3 linked regions of the Mus musculus genome follow. The protein of the gene in region 1 interacts with the protein of each later gene in a biochemical or structural test. Links are inferred from orthologs where the notes say so. Each region holds a gene or a part of one and is shown on either strand. Other genes may lie near its edges.

The links. The genes of interacting proteins can lie anywhere in the genome.
Region 2: of the proteins of Serpinf2 (region 1) and Elane, one has a biochemical effect on the other in vitro, tested with the Homo sapiens proteins (2 studies listed by BioGRID). The link is inferred for Mus musculus from reciprocal best matches to the Homo sapiens genes SERPINF2 and ELANE.
Region 3: the proteins of Serpinf2 (region 1) and Plg form a complex in vitro, tested with the Homo sapiens proteins (2 studies listed by BioGRID, with this or other methods). The link is inferred for Mus musculus from reciprocal best matches to the Homo sapiens genes SERPINF2 and PLG.

What each region holds. Positions count from the first base shown.
Region 1 is NC_000077.6:75,435,800-75,441,584, reverse strand, and holds the start of Serpinf2 (alpha-2-antiplasmin precursor), read left to right. Parts: upstream 1-2,083; 5' UTR 2,084-2,128; intron 2,129-2,194; exon of another isoform or gene 2,195-2,392; intron 2,393-3,126; 5' UTR 3,127-3,130; coding exon 3,131-3,193; intron 3,194-3,332; coding exon 3,333-3,371; intron 3,372-3,417; exon of another isoform or gene 3,418-3,484; coding exon 3,485-3,547; intron 3,548-4,029; coding exon 4,030-4,231; intron 4,232-4,714; coding exon 4,715-4,858; intron 4,859-4,996; coding exon 4,997-5,200; intron 5,201-5,544; coding exon 5,545-5,687; intron 5,688-5,785.
Region 2 is NC_000076.6:79,883,899-79,889,347, reverse strand, and holds Elane (neutrophil elastase precursor), read right to left. Parts: upstream 3,037-5,449; 5' UTR 3,014-3,036; coding exon 2,950-3,013; intron 2,635-2,949; coding exon 2,478-2,634; intron 2,366-2,477; coding exon 2,224-2,365; intron 1,783-2,223; coding exon 1,549-1,782; intron 1,432-1,548; coding exon 1,231-1,431; 3' UTR 1,132-1,230; downstream 1-1,131. UniProt on the Homo sapiens protein: Serine protease that modifies the functions of natural killer cells, monocytes and granulocytes. Inhibits C5a-dependent neutrophil enzyme release and chemotaxis. Promotes cleavage of GSDMB, thereby inhibiting pyroptosis. Promotes blood coagulation.
Region 3 is NC_000083.6:12,376,350-12,382,039, reverse strand, and holds the start of Plg (plasminogen precursor), read right to left. Parts: upstream 3,432-5,690; 5' UTR 3,373-3,431; coding exon 3,324-3,372; intron 1-3,323. UniProt on the Homo sapiens protein: Plasmin dissolves the fibrin of blood clots and acts as a proteolytic factor in a variety of other processes including embryonic development, tissue remodeling, tumor invasion, and inflammation. In ovulation, weakens the walls of the Graafian follicle.

The sequences.
Region 1 (5,785 bases):
AGATACTGTTCCTAACCAGCAAGAATTGGGGCAAGGAAAGCACTGTGATCCCCATTGCTCCCCAGTTCTGCCTTCTGGATTCACATGGGGACAGGGCAGCTCCAGGAAATGAAAGGAGTTGGGCCTTTGCTCAGCCAGCTTCCTCTAGCCACGCTCTCCTTAGCTCTGTTTCTCCCTTGGGTAGGAAACTGCTCCTGTCTAGGGTTCTGATGGTACTGGGACTCCAGGCTCAGGAGGGCTGGCCAGGACCTACGACTTTCAGGGCTTGGTCTGGGGTTTTAGCATTCATTCAGCCAGGTCTTCAGTATGGGACCAGAAAAAAGGGGATGTGAGAACAGGGCTAGGGAAGGGGTTATATGGGCCCAGCTGGTCCAGGAATGAATCCATGCCTTGCCTTGGTACCCCTAACCACAGCGTTTGTGCCTTCAGCCGGGGAGGCAGCCCTTGGGACCAGCATCCCTAGGGACAGGAGGCAGCGGGAATCATCTCTGTATCTCGGGTTCTGCCCAGGGGATGGGCAGACTCTGCCATCTCTTGAGTGTTCGTTTGGAGAAGCCTGAGATGTGGCCCCTGCTGCCTTCTCACTAGTTGCAGTCTATGTAAATAAGGTCAATAAATTCTTTGGAAGAGCCACGGAGCTGAGTGAGGCTGTGTTGTGTTTTGCTTTGCCTAGGCTGGGCTCAGGCAGCTCTGCCTCAGCCTCCCAAGGAGCTGGGGAACTGGTATATGTCACTGTATATGTCACTGTGCCTGGCTTATGGCTTGGCTTGGCTTTTTTTCAGATGGTCTCAAGTGCCTCAGGTTGGCCTTGATCTTGGGATGACCTTCCTGCTTGAAACAGAGTAGTGGGCTTATAGGCATGACCCACCAGGTCCAATTTTTATTTTTTAAAGGCATTGATTTTTATACGTGTATGGTTGTTTTGCCCACTTGTACATATGCACACCATACTTGTGTCTGGTCCCTGCGGAGGTCAGAAGAGGGCATCGGGATCACCTGGAACCGAAGTTAATGAATGGTTATGAGCCACATCTCGATGCTGAAGATTGAACCTGGATCCTTTGCAAGAGCAGCCAGTGTTCTTACCCACTGAGCCATCTCTAAGCCCCACACCCAGCTTCTTTTGATACAAGGTCTGGTAGCTCAAACTTGATATGCAGCCGAGGAGGTTGACCTGGTATTCCCTACCTACCCTCTTCTCTCTACCTTCCAAGTGCTGATATTATACATAGGCATGGATAGTCATGCCCACCAGTTTGCCTTGATGGCACCAGAGTCAGGAAAGTCCAAACCTGGTAGTTGCAAACACAGCAAGAGGGTAGAGGCAGCCATTGTCCTCTGGCTGCCTTGGATACAGAGCTTCTGGGTTGGGTGGCCTTGGGTCAGTTTTCCGAATGGTTCACCCTTGGGGAAAGGGAACACTGCTGAAGAGGTGGGACCCTGGGAGGGCCGGCCTCCAGCTGGGTCTCTCCAGCCCTCGCCTTGGAACCTAGGCTGGAGGGAGCCAACCAGGATCCTGGACTTGCTACAGTTAGGTGAACAGGCTCCTGCAGCCTCCCCTTCCCTTGGGTAGCTGTGGTGGTGGTGGTGGTGGTGGTGGTGGTGGTGGTGGTGGTGGTGGTGGTGGTGGTAGTGGTGGTGGTGGTGGTGGTGGTGGTGGTGGTGGTGGTGGTGGTGGTAGTGGTGGTGGTGGTGGTGGTGGTGGTGGTGGTGGTGGTGGGACTTTGGCTGTGACTCTGGAGCCCACTCTGCGCCCTTACACAGGCCACACAGCCTCTCTGAGCCTCACTGACTGTGGATAATCCCCTATGTTGAGGGATCATTAGAAGGCTTGCCAGGCCCAACCTCCTCACTTATCTGCTCCTGTAAACCCCTTCTCCAGGCTCAGGCAGGGTTCTGGGTAGCCTTGATGGGAAAGGGTCTTCTGGCCCCCATATCAATGTTTAACCGGATGTACAGGTCAATATTTACCAGCACTGAACACAAGCTGAACGGGGGTTGGCTGAGAGCAAAGGTCCTGTGGGAGGAGAGAGCTAGGCCCTGCTGGCTGCACTGGGGGAGCGTGGGGAGCAAGCTGGTCCAGGAGAACACCGTGTGCTGCGTGTGCTGCGCTAAGAAGCCTGAAGAGGTAGGATGGAGGGGTGGTGCAGCCTGCTGCTTGGGCAGCAGAGGAAGTAGACAGCTGGCACCTTGGCAAGGGGTCTGGATGAATTTATTCAGGGAGCCTGCAGCTTCACAGCGTCCTGGGGTGGTGAGGAGCAGAGGTCCAGGCAGCTCCAGGAGAAACCTCTAGAACTCCAAAACCTGGAGGCCTACTCTTGGCGAGAAAAATCATATATCCAGATTGGAGATGAGGCCCTGGCTGAAGGTTCTTGAACACAGTTGTGGAGGTCTAGGGATAACAGAAGGACCTTTTAGAAGAGCTGGTGCCTGAAATAAGGCCTGGGTAGGGGGCTGAGGATGGAAAGGAAGGCTCTCTAGGCTGAGAGCCTCCCCCCTTCCGCCAGCTGGGCTTCCCCGAAGCACCCTGGATCAGAACTTGGAGCAGAAGTGGGATGAGGCTTGTAGTTCCCGTAAGTCCAAAGGTGTCTGGGCCAGTCATTCATTGGTCAACAAAGAAGTTTCTGGCTGCCCTGCCAGCCCAGATTAGCTCTCAGAGCCTTTGGGTAGGACCAGGGCAGCCTGAGAAAGGCTGGATGAAATGAACAACAGGTCAGGTGGCTTTGCTAGGGTGGGGGCCAGGCATCATGCTCAGTATTTACAGAGATTCTTATTTGGGTCCTCAACATCTACATGGGAGCAGGAAGAACTTCTGCCATGAATTACCAAGACAGGGTAAAGCCAAAGGCATGAAGGGAGATGCGCAAGGTCCTCTTGCAAGATGAGGGCTTTAAATTTGAACCCAGGACTGATCCACAGTGTAAGACGAAAAGAATGAAGACTAAATGTACAGGTGAAAAAAAAAGCTTATGGAAATCCCACCTCTCAGAGTGAGTGAGGTCCACAGCTGCTATGTTTTGAGTCCAGGTTCCGCAGCCTGGTGCGGTCAAGGAACCCATGGATAGCAGTCTACTGCTTGGCCTTCGAGCGTGAGGTAGGAACTAACACTCCCTGTTCTGGATACAGGAACATGGCACTGCTCCGGGGGCTCCTCGTACTCAGCTTGTCCTGCCTGCAAGGTCCCTGTTTCACGGTGAGGCAGAGCTGAGGTCTGAGTGGGAAGTGGTCAGTCAGGCTGAAGGAGATGCTGGGGGGCGGGGGCAAATCTGGGAGAGGCCAGAAGGGTGGAGAGGGAGGAACGCTGAGTTCTCTGTTCTCCCTTTTCTCAACAGTTCTCTCCGGTGAGCGCCGTGGATCTCCCGGGCCAGCAGGTACTCAAAAGTGAGAGGTTTAGGGGGAAGAGCCAAAGGGACTCACCTATGTCTTGGCAAGATGGGGACCCATGGGAAGGGCCTTTTCTTCATCTCCTTTCTCATTTCTACAGCCAGTGAGTGAGCAGGCCCAGCAGAAGCTGCCCCTGCCTGCCCTCTTCAAGTTGGACAACCAGGTACAATCAGGTGGGGCTGGGGAAGAATGGGTGGGGCCAGAGGGAAGAGGAGGACCGGATCAGTGGAAGCAAGGGAATGGGGGTGGGGGAGTCAGTAGTTATGGGGCTGATGTTCAGGGGTTCGGAAGGGGTGGGGTAGGAAGGACTTCAGCATGACTCTCCTCAGATCTGGGACAAGGCCTTTGCTGCCCTGTCGCATCAGGACTGAGAGGGGGCTGGAGAGATGGCTCAGTGGTTAAGAGCACCGACTGCTCTTCCGAAGGTCCTGAGTTCAAATCCCAGCAACCACATGGTGGCTCACAACCATCCGTAACGAAATCTGATGCCCTCTTCTGGAGCTGTCTGAAGACAGCTACAGTGTACTTACATATAATAAATAAATAAATCTTAAAAAAAAAAAAAAAAAAAAAAAGGACCGTGAGGGACACAGAGAACCTAGAGCTGTTCCCTTGACCTCACTGACTTCTGATCTGTCCTTGTAGGATTTTGGTGACCATGCTACCCTCAAGAGGTCCCCAGGACACTGCAAGAGTGTCCCAACTGCAGAGGAGACTCGCAGGCTGGCTCAGGCCATGATGGCTTTTACTACTGACCTGTTCTCTTTGGTGGCCCAAACATCTACCAGCTCCAACCTTGTCCTGTCACCCCTTAGTGTGGCCCTAGCACTCTCTCACCTGGCACTAGGTACTGGGGTCACACCTGTCCAGAAGAACTAGGAGACCACAGAGGGTTCAGTTGCTGCAGAGGTTGTCCAGGGGCAGTTCCTCCATCAGGGACACATGGCTATTTGGTAGAATGCAGGTCCCTGAGCTGTCACCACCCTCTATGAGTCAGAAGTCCGGGGCTAAGAGTGTAGTGATTGACAAGTCCCCCTAGTTATTTTAGCACAGGAATTTAATGGCTACAATATCTTCCAGTGGACATGAGTGTCTCACTGTGGGAGACACTGCTGCTCAGAGAGGAAAGGAACCTTGAGGGAGGTGACACTGCCCAGCTTGTTAGCTGCAGAGATGAATCTGGGGACCCTATGGCTCCGTGGATCTGGGAGAGGAGCAGAGTAGTGTGATCTGTGGCCATGTTCATCATGGGGATGCCAGAGGGTGGGAGTGGGCAGTGGGGCCAGAAAGAACCCGTGGCCTGGGCATCAGCCTGCTTGGTCCCCTTCAGGTGCTCAGAACCAAACACTACACAGCTTGCATCGAGTGTTGCACATGAACACAGGATCCTGCCTCCCGCATCTACTGAGCCATTTCTACCAGAACCTAGGCCCAGGGACAATCCGACTGGCTGCCAGAATATACCTGCAGAAAGGTAGGTGCTGGTGGTAGCAAGCTGCACAGAAAGAGCCCTGCCTCTAGTGCACAAGGGTGAGGGAGAGGGGCTTGGCTTCGGGTAGCACACTGGTGGATGTGGAGGCCCTGGGATGAGCTTGTGGCTCATTGCGTGCAGGATTTCCCATCAAAGACGATTTCCTGGAGCAATCGGAAAGGCTCTTTGGTGCGAAGCCCGTGAAACTGACTGGAAAGCAGGAGGAAGACCTGGCGAACATCAACCAATGGGTGAAGGAGGCCACAGAGGGGAAGATTGAGGATTTCCTCTCTGAGCTGCCGGATAGCACCGTGCTGCTTCTCCTCAACGCCATCCACTTTCACGGTGCACTGTTCTTCTTAAGCCGCTCACCCCCGCAGCCCCGCCCACCCTGCCATTGCAAGCTTTGCTCTGAGGTTGCTAGGCCATGAAACTGGGGATTGTCTGATCACATGAAGGGGAAACTCAAGCTGCAGAGGCCAGGCTGCTTTGAGAGAAAACCGGGGCTACAGAGGGATGGAGAAATGCAAATCCAAGTGTAGGGAAGGTGCCTAAGACCAGCTAGATGTCAACCGGCCAGCGCCTCTGGGAGCGTGGCTTCTAATCCTTGTTCCTGGAATAGGTTCTAGGCAAGACAGGCAGGAGGCTGATTTTATGTTACATGGCTCCTGCCCTCTGCCTGGCTGCAGGTTTCTGGAGGACCAAGTTTGACCCGAGCCTCACCCAGAAAGATTTCTTCCACCTGGATGAGCGGTTCACAGTGTCGGTGGACATGATGCACGCGGTGTCATATCCTCTTCGATGGTTCCTGCTGGAGCAACCTGAGATACAGGTCAGTCTGGACTTTGCCTTTGGCTGGCAAACGAGGCCTGGTACTGGGAGGTAAAGTCTGGTCCCTGGGTAGGTAGCTCCTGAAGGGTTTATTATGCT
Region 2 (5,449 bases), on another chromosome or scaffold:
GAGACAGGGTTTCTCTGTGTAGCCCTGGCTGTCATGGAACTCACTTTGTAGGCCAGGCTGGCCTCGAACTCAGAGATCTGCCTGCCTCTGCCTCCCAAGTGCTGGGATTAAAGGTGTGCATCACCACTGCTTGGCTATTTTATTATTTATTATTTTTATTATTTATCTATATGCTGTATTTATTTTATTTATGTACTGTGTGGGTAAGTGTGCAGAGGGCTCGCTGAAATCCATTGTCTCCTTCACCTTCATGGCTAGCATGCTCACCTGGTAAGCCACTTCACCAGTCCTAGCTTATTTATCAGGTTATCTTCACTTTTCTTCCCCCCCCCCCACAGGTACTTAAAACTTTTATTTGTAACAAATTCCCGATTTCTTCTGCTCAAAAGTTCTTTGAGACAATTCTATCAGCCTTAGCCAATCAGAGAATAGAATCATCTGACTCGCCCATCCTGCAAATGACCCCCCGCAGATGCCGTAAGTTTTAAACTGGCCATTAAACCGGCCTGTGGTCCTATCAACCTCGGCCACGTTCATCTGGATGGACGCGTGGTCCTTGGCAGCAATGATGAGGTTGCATGCGGAGCATTTCCGAGGCACGGACAGGTCCACAAACTCGCCGGCGTCGTTCTGCATCCTGAGGCCGTCCCTGCTCACTGGTCCAGCGAGAGCGCAGAAAAGCTCACTTTTCTTAATTATGTGTAGAAGGTGTATATATGTGCCTGGTGCCCACAGAGTCCAAAGGAGGGCATCCAGTCCCCTGGAACTGGGCCTATAGGCAATAGTGAGCCACCATATGGGAGTCCAGGTCCCCTATGAGAGCAGCAGACACTCCTAACTGCTAAGCATCTCTCCAACCCTCTATTTTTCTCACTCTGTAGGCCAAGCTGTCCTCAGACTCTTGGTAATCCTCCTTTTTCAACCTCCTAAATGCTGAGACCTAGCTGAACATGGGATTTAGGAACAGAAACCAAAAGACCTGTCTGACGGACATTCTTTTGTACAAAGTGGGGGACGTGACTCCTGCCACACCTTTGCCCCAGCTTGGCTGCAGCGTCTCCAGGAGGTGAACCGTATACGAGGCATTGGCTGTGTTCTACATCCTGAAGCAGCAGACATCAGACCCAGTGTACAAAACAAAGGCTGCTTTTATTGTAGTAAAATGGAGAGGTCTCTGGTAGAGGGGGGAGCAAGGGAGCAAGGGGAGCGGGGTGGGAGTGCAGACAGGTCCTAGTTGGTCCTGCCCTCTCGGTCTTTGGGATGGGTAAGAAGGTGGTCATTATGGCTTCGGATAATGGAATTGATCCAATCTGCAAACTCAGCCACAGGGGCGAAGGCATCTGGGTACAATCCAGATCCACAGCCTCCTCGGATGAAGGAGTCAATGCCTTGGACAAGGTTGTTACAGACCAAGGGTCCGCCAGAGTCCCCCTGTGGAGGCGTCCATGTCAGAGGCTGGATCTCTAGTCATCCCCTACCCATGCTCCAGCACTGGGAAGTCCTCCCTGGGGTCCGACTACTATCCCTGCTGCTGCAGAGGGTACTTACGAAGCAGATGCCTGCCTGCCGACGTGGCACCAGAGTGCATACGTTCACACGACGGCGGCACATGTTAGTCACCACTGTCACATTGAGCTCTTGTAGCACACTGGGTGATGGTCTGTTTGTGCCCAACCTGCCCCAGCCCATGGCCAGACATGGAGTTCTGTCACCCACGCCCTGGCCCTGGGCAGGCAGCTGGGCCACCTGCACGTTGGCGTTAATGGTAGCGGAGCCATTGAGCTACAGTGGAAGACACGGGGGGGGGGGGGGGGGGGAGGCATAGAACACCAAGAAGTCACAGAGCACAGTTTATAAGAACCCTCCCCACTTTCCTTAGTACCTGACCATCAAGTGGTGAAAAAATTTAAGAACTAGAGGAAGACGTGAGTATTTTCCAAGAGTTCCCCAAGCTTCAGGGTCAGTGTGTGGAAAGGCACAAATAAGAGTTTGTTGGTTGAATACTGCTCAGAGCTTTCTGTATATTATCTCATTTAAGCCTTCAACATTCAGCCCACAGAATAGTTAATTCTCCACTGTGCTGAGCTGGAAACAGGCTCAGAGGGTGATGACTGCAGTTGACCCAGTGTGTACCTGTCCTGCAGCCTGTTCTGCAGTGCACTCTCCCTAAGCTGACCTCGGGACCTTTGCACGAGGCTCAGGTTCCTGAACTGGCAGGCCCACCTGGATAATCACAATGTCGTTCAGCAGTTGTGATGGGTCAAAGCCATTCTCGAAGATCCGCTGCACAGAGAAGGTCTGTCGAGTGCGCTCCTGTCGCCGCAGGTCATGGGCTCCCAGCACTACCTGCACTGACCGGAAATTTCTAAGGGCAATGGAGAGGGAAGGAGAATTATTGGGAATGCCCACCTGACCTCTTGACCCCAGTCTGACCCGCATGGACATTGAGGGCTAAGAGGGGAAGGAAGGGGACTCACAGGCCGTTCACACAGTGGGCTGCTGACATGACGAAGTTCCTGGCAATGAGGGTGGCACCACAGAAATGACCTCCACGCCTCTGCAGGGATGCCATGAAGGGCCAAGCATGGGGCCGGGCCGGCCGGCCACCAACAATCTCTGAGGCCAGTGCTGGGCCTGAGAACACACAAAGAAGAGTGAGCCCTGAGCTGCTGGGGCCCTCAGTGAGAACTCACAAGGCTGGCTAGGGAAACTGAGGCAGAGAAAAGACAAGGGACCTAGCCCAGGTTGCCCTTAGACTTGAGACCCAGTGCCTTCACAGTAACCACCCTCAGGCTTAGAACCCCAGTTTCCTTAGAAACCCAGTTTCCTGATCGTGGCTTTGCCATTATAAACCTTCACATCTTTTCCTGGGGTCCTGGCAGATGTGCAAGTAGATGAAAGAGATGGACCAGAGGTCAGAAGGGTGGACATGTGTCTGTTTGCACTCACCACCCAGGAACAATGCCAGTAGCATGGCAGCCAGAGTCCGGCTGGATAGTCTGCCAAGGGCCATGGTGGGCTGTGTTCTCGCGGCTCCCCACATCCCTACCTAACAGCCATACTTATAGCTGGAACCAGAGGCCGTTGTATTGCCCCATCCTGGCCACAGCCCTACTTCCTCCCTGGGACACGACAGTGGGGGTGTCATGGAGAGATGTGTGCCCCTCAGGGTCTCCATGTCAGCATCATCCATGCTGCTGAATACCAATGAAAACTCAGCAGACATCCATCTTCTTTTTTTTTTTTTTTTTGGTTTTTTTCTTTTTGGTTTTTCGAGACAGGGTTTCTCTGTATAGCCCTGGCTGCCCTGAAACTCACTTTGTAGATCAGGCTGGCCTCGAACTCAGAAATCCACCTGCCTCTGCCTCCTTCTTTTCTTTTTTTTAAAAATGGGATCTCAAAAAAAAAAAAAAAAAAAAAAAAAAAGAGCCGGGCTTGGTAGCGCACACCTTTAATCCCAGCACTCGGGAGGCAGAGGCAGGCAGATTTCTGAGTTCGAGGCCAGCCTGGTCTACAAAGTGAGTTCCAGGCCAAGGCTATACAGAGAAACCCTGTCTTGAAAAACAAAAACAAAAAAACAAAAAAAAAACAAAAAACAAAAAAAACTTAGGGCCAGGTAGTGGTGGCATGTACCTTTAAAATCAGTACCAGCGAGGCAGAGGCAGAGGCAGGTGGAGCTCTGTGAGTTTGAGGCCAGCCTGGTCTACAGATCTAGTTCCAGGATAACCAGGGCTAGACAAAGAAACCCTATCTCAAAATTAAATAAGTAAATAAATATATAAACAAACAAACAAAATCTCACGTAGCCCAGGCTAGTCTCAAACCCTTAATCCCCCTGCTTCCACCTCGTGAGTGCTGGGATGATGGTGAGCACCTCCGTGCCCACTTGGTGCCCTAATCTACAACTTATATCTGAAGGCCAATCTCTCTGCCTCAGTTTACCTCAGGTATAGTAATAACAGCAACACATACCTATAAAAGAGTTTCTGTGTGTGTGCATGTGTGTGTGAATATATGTGTGCATGAGTGTGTGTGTAGCCAGACTTGCCTGGAACTCACAGAGATCCACCTGCCTCTGCCTCCTCAGTGCTGGGACTAAGGGTGTGAACATCTATTCCCAGGACAGTGGGTCTTTTTAACCTGGGGTTCAGGACTAGACAGCACATGGCAGCCAGCTCAGCCCCTAATTTATGGCTTGCTCCTCATGACACACGGTCCTGCCTGACCTTATCCAAGCCTGGCACCCATGAGAAGGAAGTGCTGTCCTCAGCAGTTGCCTGAGTGTGGTTGCTGTGTGAGACTGAGTAACTGCTAGATCCTTGGACTTCCATTCACAGCTGCGACTGAACCATTGTTGGGAATTGGGCTGCCGACTGTAAGTCATCAATAAATTCCTTTACTATCTAGAGACTATCCATAAGTTCTGTGACTCTAGAGAACCCTGACTAATACAGAAGTTGGTACCAGGAGTGGTTCTAGAGTAACAGAAGAACAAGGATGAATCTTTTAAAATACTGGAATTGGCTTGTTGATCCACCAGCACAATCTGGAACCACACAAGGGGTGTACTCTTCTCCCATAATAGAAACAGGACCTGGGGCCCAGCCCCCACTCTGTGGTAAGCTCCCCCTCCTGTCTCTCCCAGGAGCCACAGCCAAGGCTGTTGCAAAACCAACGTCCCATCTCCAGGACGGGGCATGGGGCACGGGGCTGGGTGAAATCCAACTGACTTGAGCAGGTGGGCAGGATGCCAGGGCCCAACACCAGCCATGCTGGACTCCTCTATCCTTAGGATCCCAAGAGGAGCAGTGCCCTCCTTACCCAGCAAACTGGGCACTCAGTATCTGCCCTGTCTCCCTGTCTCCCTCGGACACATACTAACTGGTTTCCCTTCCTCCCACACAGTGAGCACCTACTTTATACACCACCCATGTCACATGGAGAGAGAGAGGTACAGGGCAAACAAAGCTACATGTCAGATTAGACTTAACCACAGCTGCACTTACTGAGCACCAGCTGTATACTATGCTCACCCATCCTGTCTGTGTACGGTTAGTGTGCCTTTAGGCTTATATTTCCAGTCCCCTGCTGTGGAACTTTAGGCCCAGAACCCCTCTATAAGTGAAGTTCTTCCTTGACCTCTGCTTAGTGTCCCCAGACCCTCAGAGGCTCTACAAAAAAAATCCCGACACAGCGATAGATGAGACGTGGGAACCCACCCCTCATGGGGTCTGGGGTTCAGTAGCAGCCTGCTTGCCATGTGTGTACCAAGCTTTGGGCTCAGCCTCAGCACTACATAAACCAGGAGCAATGGCACACAAGCCATCCCAGCACTCGGGAGGCGGAGACAGGAGGATCCGGGGCTCATGGTCTTCTTCAGCTGCGCAGGAGGTTAGAGGCTAGCCTGGGCTTACATGAGCCTGTCTCCCAAAACCAAAACAAGGTTAGA
Region 3 (5,690 bases), on another chromosome or scaffold:
CGCTCATTATCATGTGGTGCATGCGCGCGCGCGCGCATGTGTGTGTGTGTGTGTGTGTGTGTGTGTGTGTGTGTGTATGTGTGTGTGTGTGTGTGTATAAGCACATGCATGTGCATATTTCATGGCTTTTTAATTTATTTGCTTTTTACCAATCAAAGAACACTAGCTGTTATTGTGTGGCTGAATGCTTTATGGTAGGGGAAAAAGAAGGACTCCTTACTCAGATAAGCAGTCCCAGTAGTTTGCAATAGATTGAAAGTACAGCCAGACTGGCAGATTAGTAACTGAGGCCCATGCAGCCACCTCTCTATTACCATATAAGAGCAAAACTTTAGAGTAAATTACTCTGCTCGTATTGCTTGCCCTGTGATAAGGCAGTGAGGCCCCAGAGCAGCGACTTGATTTTCTTTTTTCATTTTATTTTTAAATTTATTTACATTTCAAGTATTACCCCCTTATCTGGTTTCCCCTCCTCCCAGAAACCCCTATCCCACTTCTTCCCTCCCCCCTTGCCCCCCCCCCGCTTCTATGAGAATGTTCCTCTACCCACCCACCACTCCTGCCTCCCCACCCTCAATTCCCCTACACTGGGGCATCTATCTAGCCGGCATAGGACCAAGGACCTCTCCACCCGTTGATGCCTGACAATGCTGTCCTCTGCTGCATATGCAGCTGGAGCCATGTGTATGCCTTGGTTGGTGGCTTAGTCCCTGGGAGCTCTGGGGGTCTGGTTGGTTGATGTTATTCATTTGATCTTCCAGGAGAGAACACGGCATGGGATACTGTTGATTGACTGTCAATGATATATGCTTTTCAATGACATATGACTTTTTTCTTGATGATGAAAGCATCTGGCATTTCAGAGAAAGTTATTAAAAAGTAGAGCCTGGAAGCTGGGCGTGGTGGCGAACACCTTTAATTCCAGCACTCGGGAGGCAGAGGCAGGCGGATTTCTGAACTCAAGGCCAGCCTGGTCTACAAAGTGAGTTCCAGGGCAACCAGGGCTATACAGAGAAACCCTGTCTCGAAAACAAAAAAAAAAACAAAAAAACAAAAAAAAAAAAACCAAAACAGTAGTGCCTGGTACAAATACTGGCTTCACTGTTGTTGTTGGTTGTTGTTGTTGTTGTTGTTGTTGTTGTTGTTGTTGTTGTTGTTGTTGTTGAGACAACATCTTTCTACCTGGTCTGGCACTCAAGCAATCTTCCTTCTTCAGCCTCCCTAGTGCAGAATTACATATGTGTGCTACCATGATTTGATTTTTGTGTGAGATGCAATCTGAGACAGAGTTGCTTGCTTTCCCTCTTGTCCCCATAGAATGTGGTCCCAGCTGCCAGGTGTCCCCTGGGCTAAGGTGCTAAAATGCTGGCTTAAGCTTGACAACTCTGTTCCAAGCCTGAACCCCTGCTACTACTCTTTTGTGTAAATAGTCATGATTTCCATAGCGGTGAGAGGACAAAGAGGTTAATGAACATAGAAAAGTCTTCATGGAATTAGGCAACATGGCAACCTTGACCTCTAGAGGGAAATCGAAGCCAGATCCAGCAAGTTAACAAGTGACCAGGATCGGAAGCAGGAACACTTGAGAAGGTAAACACAGACTCATCTTTGAAAGCCTACCCTCTCCCTCTCTGGTGACTCCATCCCTCCTCAATGCTCCAAACTGGAAAGCTGGGTAGAGAGTGTGGAGTTGGCTAATGCCCTTACACTGTCAGAGCGCTTGCTGTGGGCATAAGAGATTATGGAGAAATGGAACATTTTAGACTTCTGTTCCATTCCAATTCAAACGCCCACCTTGAGAAGACCCAAGCTTTGGGGAGCTGCGGAGCTGCGTGTGATTTGGAAGGCATACAGTCATCCTGCACAGCGTGTCTAGGCAGAGTTGGGCTAACCTGTGCTAAGAGTTCTCGGGGAGTGTGCCAAGGAAGGTCTCGGATGACGATGGAGAGGAGAGAGCCCTCCTGTTTGGACCATCAGCTTTGTGTCATGTTTATTGGTGGACAGCCGCTGAGATCCACCCAAGGAGCTGCCACTCCAAAGACATGTCCCCAAGAGGAACCGAATCTTTTCTTTTGTATTTGAATTTTTTCTCCAAATCTTTATCTCTTCTGTTTACCTCCAGGGCTCTTGTAGAAAATAAAGTTTAATATAGTATATTGATAAGGAGACTTGAAACAAATCTTTTAGTAGGAAAATTATTTCTTTGTAACAGACTAAATATAGATGGGTATTACCATCAAAGCAAAGAGGCTTTTTTCATTACTATGGTGTGTGTGTGTGTGTGTGTGTGTGTGTGTGTGTGTGTGTGTACTTGAGTGTGCAAAATTAAATCTCTGCTGAGCTTGATGGATGACACTTTTTATCCTAGCACTTGGGAAGCAGAAGTGGGCTTCTGAGAGTTAAAGGCTAGCCTGGTCTACATAGCAAGTTTCAGTCTGGTCAGGACTATATAATATGACTTTATCTCAAAAAAAAATCAATAGTTTGTTCACAGTTGTGGAAGAAGCGTTTTTATCCTCTCCCAGGCTATTTCTGTGCAATAGGAAATGAAAGTCAAGCCATTTCTGTAGATAATGACAAGTACTTTGACAAAGACCTTATGAAGGAATGCCCCTCAATTGGCAGAGATACATGTTGATCCTACTGCAGAGAATCTGGTTCGGAGTGACCCCTAAGCTTATAGTGTCCCCAGTGCTAGTTTCTACACACACACACACACACACACACACACACACACACACACACACACAATGTGTGTAGGAACCCTGACCTCTAAATAGGTATTTGTTTAATTACTGCAAATACATGACACTTTAAAATGGACCTATGTGACTCACGGAAGCATCAGAGGCAGATGTGTACCCATGCAAAGCCTTCCTTCAGCCAAACAGAAGATCCCAATGGAAACAGGATGGCTCAACAAAAGTTTCTAATCAGTCACACTGAAAACAAGGCAAAGAGGTAGACCATCTAAGCCCACTAACTACCACCACCAGGAACTGAACCCAGAACCTCAAATATGCTAGCCAAGTGCTCTACCACTGAGCCACATTGCCCTTTAGTCAGACCCCTCCAAAATCCCCCTTCAATTAGGTTTACAAAGCCACTGGTGGCTTGCTCTGCCTGTCCATCCCTACCCAAGCAGTATTCACAGGGAAACTGAATTTATATGTCGAACTCCTCAGTCTGACACTTTAAGCTGAAAGTCCCATAAGCCAATAGCTCATTTAAATGAATTGCCCAAAAAGACACAGCGAATCTATTTTTAATGGATGGCTAGAATTTTTAAAAAGCGGAACGAAACCTGTGCATCAAAATCTTACCTGGTTTCAGAAGCAAGAGAAACAGAAGGATTACTTCCTTATGGTCCATGTTGGGACTGGCCAACAGCACCTGGACAACTGTGTCCTAGTTCCTGGTGTTGACTTAAAGGGGAACAGAGGCATCCACAAGCAAGGTAGTCCAAATAGGTTAATTATTCTCTGGGGCCCCCACCACTGTATGCAGAAAGAGCAAACATTACCTCGAACAGGGAGCTTACAAAATGTTTGAGCAGAGCCTGTGGTAGATGCTGGAAGTGATGGCAGTGGCCTTCCCCATTGGACCCCTACACCCTGTTACACCTCTCCGTCCTCCCTCTTCCCTCTTACTTCCTCCCTCCTCCCTCCTCCCAAGCCACCATGTTGCCAGTCTCCTCTCATTTCTTTCTCTCTTCTTCCTTTGCTGAGTGCCTCCCATATGCCAGATTCTGCCAAGTGGTCCATACTCAGCCTCGTTTGACCTTACTGGCAATCGGCTGTACCCTGTTCCCATTTTCAGAAGAGGGGCCTGGGGTAACACATGATGTCTCAGTGTGTGTATTGCGTAAGCTGTATGAGCTTGTTTTTCATCCGTTATGTTGCGAGTAGCGGTTGGTTTTGGTTTGGTTTGGCTTTGGTGACCCCTCAGCTCTCTCCCAGCCCTGATGTTGACTAAGCAGTTTGACTAAGTCATATCATTTTTACAACACCGTCATATTCACGCCGCTTTCAAACTTAAGCAGTACATAACTTCTGTCCTGGTGTGTTTTAGCCCTTGACCCACCTGTATAGTGAGACTCGGCATTGCCGGGCAAGGGCCAAACCATGGAGAAGCACCACTAGCCTACTGTGCAGTGTTGAAATCCGTTTGTGAGTTGGAAAAAGAACTCAGTGGTAAGTGAAGCACTTACTGCTGCTCCAGAATTCAAGTTCCAGCACCCACATCAGACAGCTCACAGTCACTCATAACACCAGCTCCAGGAGATCTAATGTCCTCTTCTGGCCTTTGAGGACACACACACACACATGTGTGTGTGTATGTATGTACGTATGTGTATATATAAGTATATACATATGTATGTGTATATATAGATATATACATATGTATGTGTATGTAGGTATATATGTGTGTATACTTGTACATATACACATATAGGTATGTGTATGTGTATATATATGAATGTATATCTGCATTATATATATGTATGCATATGCATATATATGTATTTATGCATATATGTATATGTGTGTATATGTATTCATAATATATGTGTGTGTATATATACATATATATGTGTGTGTGTGTATATATATATATATATATATACCTTCCGCTTCCCAGTCCTTTCTTAATATCCCCTCCAGTGTGGATCTCTCCTCCATAAGAACTCGCAGTATCATGGTAATACCCTCAAAAGTGGAGGGATTCAGCTGAAAGACTATCTTTTTGTTTATTTGTTCTTGTTGCTTTGACATAGTCTCCTACTGTAGCCTGGGCTAGCCTGGAACTCACAGTGATCCTCCTGTCTCTGCTGTCTGAGTGCTAAGACTACATACAGGTGCATGTCTCTCTCTACCAATCATCTCAACTTTAATGGTAGAGTCTGAACTTTTTCTTGGCTGGAGGCTCAAATGCTTTAAAGCCTCCCATTTTATATTTGAAAATATTTAGAAATGGACTCCTCTCTGTTGGTGTGGGATAAAGACAAAGCAGCCGCTGTTCTTCCCTGGCTACAAACTCCTTCCCATGACAACTAGTTACAGGATCAGGTGCCAGGATGTCTCAGGTAGAAGCTTGTATAGAATCCCATGAGAATAAAGCCCATGCAGGAAAACCAGGAAGACAAGCAAGGAGAGGGAGGGGAGAGGTAGGCAGCATGTCACGGTGCTAGGCATCGCTCCTCCTTGAGGAAGCCAGGAGGTCTGTGAGACTCAGGAAGCTGACAAATGTATGGGGCTCAGTCAACTTCGAGCTGCACCAGGCCCTCCCTCTGTTCTACAGGAGCAGAGAACTAGCATGGGAGATTCTCCTCGGTAGAGCCTCGGTAGAGCCGCCTGCACCTGGGGTGAGAGTGTCAGGGGAGTTCCTGTGAGGAGGCAACCTTTGGTAGTTGGTTCTCCCAGCTAGATTCAGTTGGAATTAGTTTCCTTGGCCTGTGATGTGTGCCCTGTGGGAATGAATTGACAACGGTCATGTCTCTCCAGGAGTGCCCCACACAGCAGACAGATGGGGGCACCTGAGTGTGAGCACACCCTGATATTTTGTCAGCCAGCCTTCTCCTCTCCTCATACCCACCACTGGCCTTACCTCCCCTTTTTTGAACCCGCCAGCCCAGTTTAATAAATTAGAAGCAATACAAAAAGTCAGTAACAAGCAGTTTTTTTTTTCCT